3 linked regions of the Canis lupus familiaris genome follow. The protein of the gene in region 1 interacts with the protein of each later gene in a pairwise test. Links are inferred from orthologs where the notes say so. Each region holds a gene or a part of one and is shown on either strand. Other genes may lie near its edges. The genes, in order: SPA17, AKAP7 and MYL6B.

Region 1 (3,649 bases):
TGTCATTGGCTCCCTGCTCAGCAGGAAGCTGGAAGCCTGCTTCTCCCTCTCCCTCTGCCACTCCCCTAATTTGTACTCTCTGGCTCTGTCAGATGAATGAAATCTTTTAAAAAAAAAAAAGAAATTGTTCATAATGAAAAGTTCAAAAAATCTGCTTAAATATAAATATTTCTTCCTGTCTTTGTTTACTGACTACATAATATGCTTCATTTTTATTTTTTTAAAGATTTTATTTATTTGACAGAGAGAGAGCACAAGCAGGAGGAGGAGCATCATATATTGTTATCACTGGTTATGTTTACAGTGTTAAGCTATGTACATAATAAGATTTTCCTTTTTTTAAGATTTTATTTATTCAAGAGAGACACAGAAACAGAGACAGAGACATAGGCAGAGGGAGAAGCAGGCTCCCTGCAGGGAGCCATATATGGAACTCGATCCCAGGACTCCAAGATCACGCCCTGAGCCACAGGCAGACACTCAACCACTGAGCCACCCAGGTGTCCCCATAGTAAGATTTTCAACTAGCAATAAAGAACTTCCAGCTTGGGCAGCCTCGGTGGCTCAGCGGTTTAGCGCTGCCTGCAGCCCAGGGCGTGATCTTGGAGACCCTGGATCGAGTCCTACGTCAGGCTCTCTGTATGATGCCTGCTTCTCCCTCTGCCTGTGTCTCTGCCTCTCTCTGTCTCTATGAATAAATAAAAAAATAAAATCTTTAAAAAAAAAAAAAGCCCTGTAGTTTGAAAAAAAGATCTTGTGTTACTAATCTGGATTTACTTTAATGAACTCAAAATAAGTCTGAAATTATTATATTTTTATTATTTAGAAACCAACTTTGATCCAGCAGAATGGGGGGCTAAGGTAGACGACCGCTTCTATAACAACCATGCATTCAAGGTATGGTCCTATGAAACTCGTGGATTTGGTTATTTCTTCTCCTTGTCTCCAAAACAGATAATAGCAGAATCTCCCCAGAATCACGATCATGAAAGGCATATATATCTTATTAAACCTTTTTAGTTGTGCTGTTCTTTCTGACGAGAATTTTTTTTCTAAAGTATCTGAATTGTGAAAAAAAATAAAGTATCTGAATTGTGAACAGATATTTAGCTGAAATTGAAAGGTGATCAACAGAAAGAATGTACTTGAAAAGTTACAGAATAACTACTATAATTTATTCTTCAAATTGTATTGGGTATCACGATGGTTAGCAATAGCGGATCCTCAATAAATATTTGTTGAATTAACAAATGACATTTCATAAAATAAAACACCATTTATCTAGTTGTTTCATCATCATTGACATCATGGTGGAGTTTCTTCTACAAAACTAATGTGTTCAAAGACTGAACCTGCCTTCTCTTTAGCAACATTCTCTGAACCAGCCTTTCTCAACCAAGGTTCCCCAAAATAATTAAGCCCTAAGCCAAAGGCACTCATTGCATGTAAAGAATCAATGTCTTTCCTTTGTATCCAGGATGATTCTAGTTATGTACCATCCTTGATAGAATAGTCCCTCAAAACATTCTGTGTTCTGTGGTCCAGAAGAGGAACACTGGATGATAAGGGCTATGTGTGACCCTTTGTGATTGGCATCAACTAACTGGGAACTTGATGGAAATTCTGTCTCAGGCTCTACTCGAGATCTGCCAAGTCAGAAACTGAACTTTAACAAGCTCCCCAAAGTAATTTGTAGGTACATTGGTGTCTGAGAAGCACTCTTCTAGACAACTGAGATAATACATTAGCCACAAATCTCCGCCAGATATTAGAATTAAAAGGAATTAACCAAGTTCAGGTTTTGATGGTGTTCCGCAGTAGAACTGGGGAATTTCCAGGGGAAATACCTGTCACTTTTTCCATGAGTTCAAAAGTGAAGTTCCATCCATTTGTGCCTGCCAGATAATGGGAGTGTTGAGTTTGTTTCCACTTAACTTAATTCTCTGTGTTCATGTTTTATTTCAATCAAAAGAATAGTGTCAAAAAGCTTTAAGTCTTTGTGTCACATAGCAATTTTAGGGTGTTTTTTTCCATCTCTTTTGAATTCTAAAGGCTTTACTTAATTAGCTTATATGTCTTCAAATTTCTGTTTTATGGATTCAAGAAACTCTTCTCATAGGTTGTGAATTAGCAATGCCTCTATTTTGGTGAAAGTTTTCAATAACCATGTCAAAATAGGCATAGCTGATATCCCTTTTTTTTTTATTTAAATGGCTCCCCATAGCACAATTTACTTCTTTGATATGATTTTTAACCTTCAAACTTCATTAAAAAGTCCACTTGATCTCACATCATGGGGCACAATGGCACATATTTTGTTCTTATTTTAAAAACTAGCAGCACTTCTTTTTTACACTTTGTTCAAGATTCATTACAGCATCTTAACAACTTTAGTATAAGACAATAGCTTTGTTTTCATATAAAAACAATGCTGCACACATTCCAAAAGCAAAAATGTCAAACATTTTTCACCAATTGTTTGGTCATATTTGTTTATGCATATTCCCTTGAGAGTTTTAATTTATTTCTTTTTTTTCCAACCTAGTTTCTTTTTTTTTTTTAATCAGCATGTACTTAATTCCTACTACTTCTCAATAACATACAGAAATATTTAGTGACTTTCAGCAGTTTGATGCAAGACTTTACTGTTTTGGAATATTGCCTGTTTGACCCTCTCACCCCTCTTCCAGGAGCAAGAATCACCTGAGAATTGTGAGTCAGAAAAAGAAAAATCTCCCCCATCTGTGAAAGAGGATGAGACACCAGTCACAGCCTTTGTAAGTTATATTTTCCATATATTATTAGATTCCTAAAAAGAATCATATCCCTCAAATTAAAATTATACTCCAAATATGAATCTAGTCTATTATCCATATTGCTAAAATAATCACTTTGCTCTCTAGATAACTGGCATCAGTGATAAACTCACTGGTAGATCATTTGTAACTATGCCTATTATGAAGGAAAACTCCTTCTTGCCCTTAAAAATAAAATCTTATTTTCCAAGATTGGCAATAGGTGGGAGAATCTCAGTCTTCATCCTTCAGATTCACTTTCCACTCTGAGAATTTTTCACTAATCGATGCTCTCACCACCACACAGTGGCAAGGGTCAGAGATGACAAAAGGAAACTCGCAGAGAATCACATACCACCAAACAGAATGGCTTTCCGCAATGTGTAAAGGTCTTACTCACCTTCCATGCACTGCTGTCTACAAAATAACTTCCTGGGGATCCCTGGGTGGCTCAGCGGTTTAGCGCCTGCCTTTGGCCCAGGGCGTGATCCTGGAGTCCTGGGATCAAGTCCCACATCGGGCTCCCCGCATGGAGCCTGCCTCTCCCTCTGCCTGTGTCTCTGCCTCTCTCTCTGTCTCTGTCTCTCTGTGTCTGTCTCTCATGAATAAATAAATAAAATCTTTTAAAAAAATGACTTCCTGCCTGATAGCCTACATCTAAGCAGTAAAGACCTGACCTGAGTAGGGTCCACCTTCAAAGATACCTATTTTCAGTAGTGTGCTAGAGCCAGCTCTCAAGAGACAACTGTGCACATCTCTATACAACCCATGATCAGTAATGTCTACTTTACCAAAAATCAGCCATGGTAGGAGTATGAAGATCATGGCCAATACTACAAATCAAACTTTTTTTT
Region 2 (3,649 bases), on another chromosome or scaffold:
TTATGTCAGGAGTTTCAAAATTGCATACATCTTATTAAAACATTTTATACATTATAAAATATTAAGATCTATATCACTTTTTAAAAATTCATCCATTTCTCCATTGTTGATGATTACTCTTTTTTTTTGATACCTCAAATTTCAACTTGATATACCTCATTATTTCAGAAGCTTAAAGCATATAAGGTTCTGAATGCCACCAAATTTAAACCCAATACTCTTTGATGATTTTTTTTTTTTTAATAATACAACTCATCCTAGAGAGGGAGACTTTAAAAACAGATTCAACCATTTTGGGGTATCCGTTTTCAAATGCCTCTAGGCAGAACTAGATACCAAAGTATGTCACATTCTAAGACAGTGATATAAATATGAACTAGCTGCCTCGGTGGAATGATTGAGTGATGTGATTTTGTTTTATCATTTCAAGGGAGTGAAAAAAATCGACCCCAAATTCTATGAAAAATTTATCAGTCATACATTTGGAGAAGAAATGGTACATCGCATAGATCTTTGCTCCATGCTAAAGAAAAAACAAAGTAATGGTTATTATCACTGTGAGTCTTCAATTGTGATTGGTGAGTGCCATTTAAAAATTACTTATTATCTTAGTTTTGATTTCTTTAGCATCATTTCTTTTGGCAGATATTTAGGGCTAGTTGTATGTATTTTTCTCTGACATATTTTTGGAAATATTATATTTTGGCATTAGTACATTTGAAATTTTATAGAACACATTTATTATTCACTGTGGTCAAGATTTTAGTACCTATGGTTTTTATGTTTTTGTGTTTTATATATAATGAAGTCTTGAAATGTTGATTCAAAATTCATTCCAGTTTAATTTTATTTCATGAATATGAAGAAAACATTGTCTTCAGTGAAGGCCTATGTGAACACCCCATCCCACACCAGGCATTTTCATGTTTGCTGCTTTTAATTAGGAATAGAATATTCCAGGCCAAGAAGTTTCACTGTGAGAAGATAAAGTCTAGGTGGCCTGCAAAGGTTGAAAACTTGTCCTTCAATTTCCTCCCCAAAGGAAACATATTTTGTGGGGAAACAAAGATTCATACGTGAATGCTTCTATCATCTTATCAGGGAGTTGGCTTGTGACCGAGACAGAGTCATACACAATCATGTTTCCGAGTGGAAAGTTTACATCAAACGGAGATTTTTTTTAACCAGAACAGGGCTATTGTGCAGTGTTGAATGTATTCAAAGGAACCTGATCTGTTGTGATGCAAATGTGCGATTTCAAACCCAGGCAGCATTCTTCTAAGATGGTGAACTTCAAAAAAAAAAAGTAAAAAAATAAAATAAAATAAAATTGTGAACATCAAGACAATCTGATTGTATGGTTTTGAAGTAACTTGACAATACTCAAAGAAGACAAATACCTGTATCTAAACATTTCATGGTCTTCATCAAGATAATGTCTCTCCACATCAGCTTCAAGAAAACCTGTGGAAATACACATCCTGAATTTTAATATAAATTCTCAGTAGAGCTCTCTTCAGAGAAGTCATCACTTTACCTTCCAAAGATCTTAGCTGTCTTAAACGGAAGATATTCAGTATGTCATTTGAGTTTATATTCTGAAACATTTCACATCTCTTTTAAGGAAGATTTTTGTGTTTTCAGAATCTTGGTTGGAGAGCTGTCTTCCATCGAAGTTTTGTTGAGGACCAGACATTTCTGTTTAGGTTCATTGCAAAGGGCAAATTTAAGACTTTCTTGTGTAACACAGATGTTGGGTAGCTGTCCATGTGTACATAGGTTAGGCCAATGTTGAAGGAGAACTCAATGTTCTTCCTTGACTCTTCTACTCTTGGATAAAGAACAAACAAAAAACCCCCAAGCAGTATGTATATTTTCCTGAAGGTATCCTGGGATTGGTATCATAGCATGTATCCCCTACATTGCCTTAGGACAGCTCTGTTCAGCTCATCCTGAATCACAATGTATCAAACAGTGATTTTTTATTTTATTGCTCTTTTCAGCCTACTCTTAAAAATTCCCCTTATTCTAGGCAATATCTCCAGATTTTCCCCTCAGGCTCCTTTATCTCTCATGTTTTCTAATGCAGAGCAATTTAGCTTCTTTTAAACTCCACCACCAATCTTGTATCCCCATACTGATCATTTAATATTATTTGAAAAAATGGTTTTTGCCCATTACAAATGCTCTACTTTTTCAGTCGCATTTTGTGATGCCAAAATGAACTTTAAAATCATATTTGCATCTGAAATGATAATTATTATGTTATAATTAACCAACTTTAATACACACTAGAAGTCCTTTATTTGCTGGGGATAGTTATTGATTTTCTCTATCTTAATCTTACCTGAGTTTTGTAACAATATTTAGGAAGATTCAGGACACTTTCTTTGTGAGTTTCATTTCTTGATCAGATTTAATTGTTTGTTTTTTTAATTTGATCCTAACTTAAATTTAAATCTGTTTTCTATACCTTGAACCAGTATTTCCTTGTATTAATATTGTATTATATTAATAGAGTGGGGCAGATTTCCATTTTTAAGATATTTTGCATTCAGAATTCTAGGGTAGAAATTGGGTTCAAAGACTCTAAGAATTGTCTATAAAACTTTGTTTATAAAACTTTCTATGTAGGTACATAAGTGGATTTTTCTGGGGAGAGAATTCATTAGATTTGCATCATTTCCTATGTCTTAATTTGTTAATAGTGCATTCTTGTAGAGAACTAGATTACAAATCATGGATTTTCTTTTCAGCTGTCTCAATTATGCCATTTAGGACATCTTATTATTATTATTTTAAAAACATCAATGACTATATGCTTCATTTCCAAGATTTGTCATTGATTCTTTTTCATATTTTCCTTTTCTGTTCTTTGCTTCATGGATGCTATGCTTTCATTTATCTCTTTGAGGATTTTAATATAATTAATTGTTAATATTCTTTTTGTGTATTTAAAAATATTTTATTTCATTTTTATTTTTAAAATAAATTAGATATATAGTATAAATTTAAGGAGTACAAGGTTTTACTTTGGCATTTTTATGTGTTGTAATATGATATTTATCACATTACATAATTACAGTATAATATTTTTGTCTATATTCATTATACTGTAATTAGGTCTTGATTGCTTATTTACAAGTAGTAAATAAGGTATAAGTTTGTACACCATAAAATACTATTAATCTTACTCTCCTACCCACCAATTTTCTGAGAACCACCATTTTATTGTTTTTTACAGCTTTATTAGATTCCATCTATAAGTGGCATCATACAGTACTTGTTTTTCTGTGAATTACCTTGCTTAGCAAATAATGTGCTTGGGGCCCATCCATGTTGTTGCAAGTGGAAGGATATCCTCCTTTTTGATGGCTGAATAATATTCCATTTTGTGTATGTACCACATCTTTCTTATCCATTCATCCATTGTTGGGCATTTAGGTTGTTTTCATATTTTGGCTATTGTGAATAATACTGTGATAAACATGGGAGTTCATATAGCTTGTCAAAATCCTATTCTCATTTCTCTGGGTTTATATCCAGTAGGGGAACTACTGGGTCATATGGTATTTCTATTTTTAATTTTTGGGTGAACCTCCATATTCTTTCTTATAGTCATTGGACTGATTTACAGTCCCACCAAAAG
Region 3 (4,386 bases), on another chromosome or scaffold:
GTCTTTTTTTTTTTTTTTGTCTCGGGTCTTGAGCTTAAGCCCTGAGCTGGGCTCTGCCCTAGGCATGAAGCCTACTTAAAAAAATAAAAAATAGGGATCCCTAGGTGGCGCAGCGGTTTGGCTCCTGCCTTTGGCCCCAGGGCGCGATCCTGGAGACCGGGGATCGAATCCCACATCGGGCTCCCGGTGCATGGAGCCTGCTTGTCCCTCTGCCTGTGTCTCTGCCTCTCTCTCTCTGTGTGACTATCATAAATTAAAAAAATAAAATTAAAAAAAAATAAAAAATAAACACAAAACAAGGACTTTAGAGTTAGATTCGCTTTTTATTTTTTAGATTTACATTTGAACCTTGACTCTGCTCCCATACTCTAGATCACACTGGCAAAAGAAGCAGAGACTCGGGATCCCTGGGTGGCGCAGCGGTTTGGCGCCTGCCTTTGGCCCAGGGCGCGATCCTGGAGACCCGGGATCGAATCCCACATCGGGCTCCCGGCATGGAGCCTGCTTCTCCCTCTGCCTGTGTCTCTGCCTCTCTCTCTCTCTCTCTGTGACTATCATAAATAAATAAAAAAAAAAAAGAAAGAAAGAAGCAGCAGAGACTCTGGGAGTCTCAGTTTCCCGTTCCTTAAAGACGGAGCCATGCCTGACCTTCTTTATGGGGTGCTTGGGTGGCTCAGTCGATTAAGTGTTAGGTCATGCTGTCAGGGTCCCAAGTTGGGCTCCCAGATTAGAAGACAAGAATAATGCAAAAATGAGGGGTTTGCCAGTCTGTTTGCCAAGAGTCTTCATGTTTTCTCTGGGGCGCGGGGCGCGGCGGGACCCTTCTCTTCAGCTCCCCCTCGGCTGCTCCTCGGAGGTAATCCAGCCCAAGCGGAAAGGGCTTGGTGAAGGCCTCCGCGGAGAGCGGCTGACCTCCTCCTCCACCTCCTGTTAGGCTGTAGGCAACCGTCCCTACTCTTCCGAGCGGCTTGCACACCCCCACCGCCCGCCCCCTCCTCTGACCCTCGGCCTGTCAGCCGCGAGCCCCGCGAGCCCCCGCAGCCCCAGCCCCGGAGGGCTGCGGGGCGTCTCGGGAAGGAGATGACCAGCGCGGACGGAGGCGTGAGGCCCGAGGCGCTGGGCGGCGCAGCCCCGCGGTTCCAGGCAGAGCCGAGGCCCCGCGCCGCGGGATGGAGAAACTTGCACAGTGGGAGGAGCCGGGGCAGGTGGCCAAGGCCTAATCCCAAATCTTAACATTTACTTCAACTACCAGCAGCTCATTACCGAAAAAAAAGAAAAAAGAAAAGAAAGGAGAATTCGGTGGAGTTGCTGTTCCAAGTCACACGGCCCCTCGGCGGCGCCCGCTCCCCCGCCCCCCGGGAGCCCCCGCTCAGCGTCGCAGATGCCCGGGCCCGCGCGGCTCTGGCGCCGGGGCGGGGGGGGGGCTGTAGAGCGGTCACCGCCGCTCAGCTCCGGGAGGCGGAGGGCGCCCAAACGGCCTGAGTCACCGCCGCCGCCACCTGCCGGAAGCCGCCGCTCGGGCGAGGTCTCCCAGCTGCCAGCGGCCTTCCCGTGAGGCCGCGGGCGCGCGAGGACTACGACTCCCGGCATGCTCCGAGGCCGCTGGCGTTAACCCTTCGGGGCCCGCGGCCTCCCAGCCCCGCCTCCGCCCTCACCTGGACCCCGCAGGGTGAGTTTTGGGGAGCTGGGGAGGGACTCTTTCCTTTATTTAAGCTTGATTTGAGGTGTGGGTGCGTGCGTGTGCATGTGCGTGTGTGTGAGTGAGATGAGTTCTGGGAGGCTGGAACGATTCCGATTTTTCTAAAATGGGACAGTGTTCAGTAATGAGATTCAGACGCATTTTTGCAAGTGAGAGACGAATCATCAAATCTCTGAACCCCAGGGTCTAAGTGGAATCATTACTCTTCCTCAGAATGCTGCCTAAATCTTTTCCTTTCTTATCCCAAGAACAAAAGTAGCCGCAACCCCTTCCCCTCTCCCCGCCACCTCCGACTTAGACCCTACCCGGTGCCCCCAGCAAGGTTTGGAACCTGGCGCCAGGGCCAGGGTTGTTACCATTCTCTGCTTGGTGGGTAAGTACCTTTGGAACCCATAGGACCTCCCACATCCTTTTGGATTAGAGATTTTAGGATTTAGGCTCCTGGCCTCCCAGGGCCTGCCCTTCCTCTCAGGTGCACCACAGAGTCCCTGCAGGCTCCGCAGGCTCCCTACCTTCCTTTGACTTGATGGACCATGGGGCCTGTGGAAAAGGGTTCCTTCCTTGGTGTGTGGGTGGTGGGTGTTAAACCTGATCCTTGTTCCCACCCTTACCCTTAAAACCATATTGGGAACAGGAGATCATGGGGTGTGTGTGTGTGTGTGTGTGTGTGTGATCACACTCCTTTATGTTACTGTTCTTTATCTATACTGGCACAATTCCAGTTCTGGGCTGGGAGACGGTGGCAGTGACTGTAAGATTTGGGGATTAAAGGCTGTGGGGTCAACTGCCCCTGCTCCTCAACTATAGTCAGAGGGGAGTAGAAGAGCTGCTTGGTTTTTTCATCTTAAACTGCTCCTGGACCCCACTTTTTTTTTTTTTTTTTTTTAAGATTTTATTTTCAAGTAGTCTGCACACCCAGTGTGGGGCCCAAATCCACAATTCCAAGATGAGGAGTCACATGCCCTACTGACTGAGCCAGCCAGGTGCCCCTCCCAGACCCCACTCTAACAATCCCAGTTCACAAGGGCCCCCTCCCTGCCTCAGCCTTTAAGGGTCTAAAGCTGCTAAAACAAAAGGGCTACTCTGTGTGTGTGGGAGGGGGGTCGAGGCCTGGAATGCCTGGGTCCCCTTCTTTGCTTCACCCCTGTGTCAGTGTCTGTCACTGGCAAGCATCCTATCCTTACCCCGGAGGTTAACTCCCTCATTCTGGGCAGTCTCTGGCTTCCTTCCCCTGCCCCCAAAGGGGCCATTGTTCTGGCTAGCATTTGGGGCTTAGTGAACAGAAGAGAGAAGACCTTGGGGCAGGAGTCCTGAACCATAGGAGTCCAGGGCAGGCCGGCATATCTCTCCTCTATCTCACCCTCCTCACCGCCAACTGGCTCCCTGCCCCTGCCCCCGCCCCTTGACATCCCAGACTCCCTGGCTATTTAAACAGAGATGGGTGCCCCCATCGGCACACTGTCCTTTGGCCACCGGACATCATGCCTCCCAAGAAGGATGTTCCTATGAAGAAACCAGCGGGACCCTCTATTTCCAAGCCTGCTGCCAAACCAGCAGCAGGGGCCCCTCCTGCCAAGCCCAAGGCTGAGCCAGCTCCAGCTGTCCCTCCAGCTCCTCAGAAAACCCAGGAGCCCCCCATCGATCTCTCCAAAGTGGTGGTGAGTCTTGGGAGACTGAGGAAGAATTTGTAAGGGATGGTACAGGGTGGGAAACAGCCGAGGTGGTTAGGGGTATCTAAAAGATAGGGACTCGGTGAGCACTGCACGGATACTGGAGATCCCTCTTGGTCCCCTATTTGGAAGCATCCAGGCTTATGACTGCTGTTCTTTTTTATTCTCTCCCTCTAACCTATACTATATGTGTGGGTACATACACACATTCTCACTGACCCCTCTGCTGGCGGCAGGGACCTGGGAGATGGGGAACATCTGGGTTCTGAGGACAGTTTCAAGGTGAAGAGAGGGAGCTGGTGCCTGTGCCTGGCTGACTGTTCGGTTCTAAAAGCCACAACTCTGAACCCCAGGAGGGAAGGCTGAGGAGGACAGACTTGTTAGACAATCACAGCTGGGGGCCAGGGGTAAATTTAGCCTTTGTTCAGCCCCCAGTTATGTGAGGGATGCAGAGCTCAGGGCACTGGAGGGAGGGGAACAGGTGGCATGGGATTAACCCTGTTCCCAGGAAACCCTCCCCCCCATAATTCCTCCTCTTGGGATTCTCCCAAGGTCCAGAGCTGGGAATGGGACTGAGGTGGCTGGGCTCCCAGCCTGGTCTCTTTGGGCCCCTCCCCAGAAGTGGCTGCCAGTTGGTTGGGAGGAGTGCTGGAGAGAGATTCAGTGAGCCCTGTCATCTCTCCTCACCTGCTCTTTTCTTCCACAGATCGAGTTTAACAAGGACCAGCTGGAGGGTGAGGAGAAGCTGGTCCCTTAAGCCGCACCGTCTAGCCCCAAGCCCCTGGTCAGATCCTCTTTCTGTTCCCCTAGCCCAACCTTGGATAGCGCCACCGTCTAGTCCCAACCTTGGAACCTTCCTCCTAGTGCTCTGTGTCCTCTGTTCTGCCTAGCTCTAGTTCGGAGTTTCTGAACCTCCTTTCTGTCAGGGGTGGAGTGGGGGGGTGGTGATGGGAACCCCTGGTCTCAACACTGACCTCTCCTTGTACTTCAGAGTTCAAGGAGGCCTTTGAGCTGTTT

The links.
Region 2: the proteins of SPA17 (region 1) and AKAP7 interact in a two-hybrid assay, tested with the Homo sapiens proteins (3 studies listed by BioGRID and IntAct). The two-hybrid records come from large-scale screens. The link is inferred for Canis lupus familiaris from reciprocal best matches to the Homo sapiens genes SPA17 and AKAP7.
Region 3: the proteins of SPA17 (region 1) and MYL6B interact in binary tests that used the Homo sapiens proteins (3 or more experiments, as listed by UniProt). The two-hybrid records come from large-scale screens. The link is inferred for Canis lupus familiaris from reciprocal best matches to the Homo sapiens genes SPA17 and MYL6B.

What each region holds. Positions count from the first base shown.
Region 1 is NC_049226.1:9,740,209-9,743,857, reverse strand, and holds part of SPA17 (sperm surface protein Sp17), read left to right. Parts: intron 1-826; coding exon 827-897; intron 898-2,690; coding exon 2,691-2,777; intron 2,778-3,649. UniProt on the Homo sapiens protein: Sperm surface zona pellucida binding protein. Helps to bind spermatozoa to the zona pellucida with high affinity. Might function in binding zona pellucida and carbohydrates.
Region 2 is NC_049222.1:70,001,620-70,005,268, forward strand, and holds part of AKAP7 (A-kinase anchoring protein 7), read left to right. Parts: intron 1-430; coding exon 431-578; intron 579-865; coding exon of another isoform or gene 866-1,080; exon of another isoform or gene 1,081-1,343; intron 1,344-3,244; coding exon of another isoform or gene 3,245-3,297; exon of another isoform or gene 3,298-3,649. UniProt on the Homo sapiens protein: Probably targets cAMP-dependent protein kinase (PKA) to the cellular membrane or cytoskeletal structures.
Region 3 is NC_049231.1:824,145-828,530, forward strand, and holds the start of MYL6B (myosin light chain 6B), read left to right. Parts: upstream 1-1,511; 5' UTR 1,512-1,669; intron 1,670-1,884; exon of another isoform or gene 1,885-2,072; intron 2,073-3,134; 5' UTR 3,135-3,180; coding exon 3,181-3,357; intron 3,358-4,075; coding exon 4,076-4,103; intron 4,104-4,360; coding exon 4,361-4,386. UniProt on the Homo sapiens protein: Regulatory light chain of myosin. Does not bind calcium.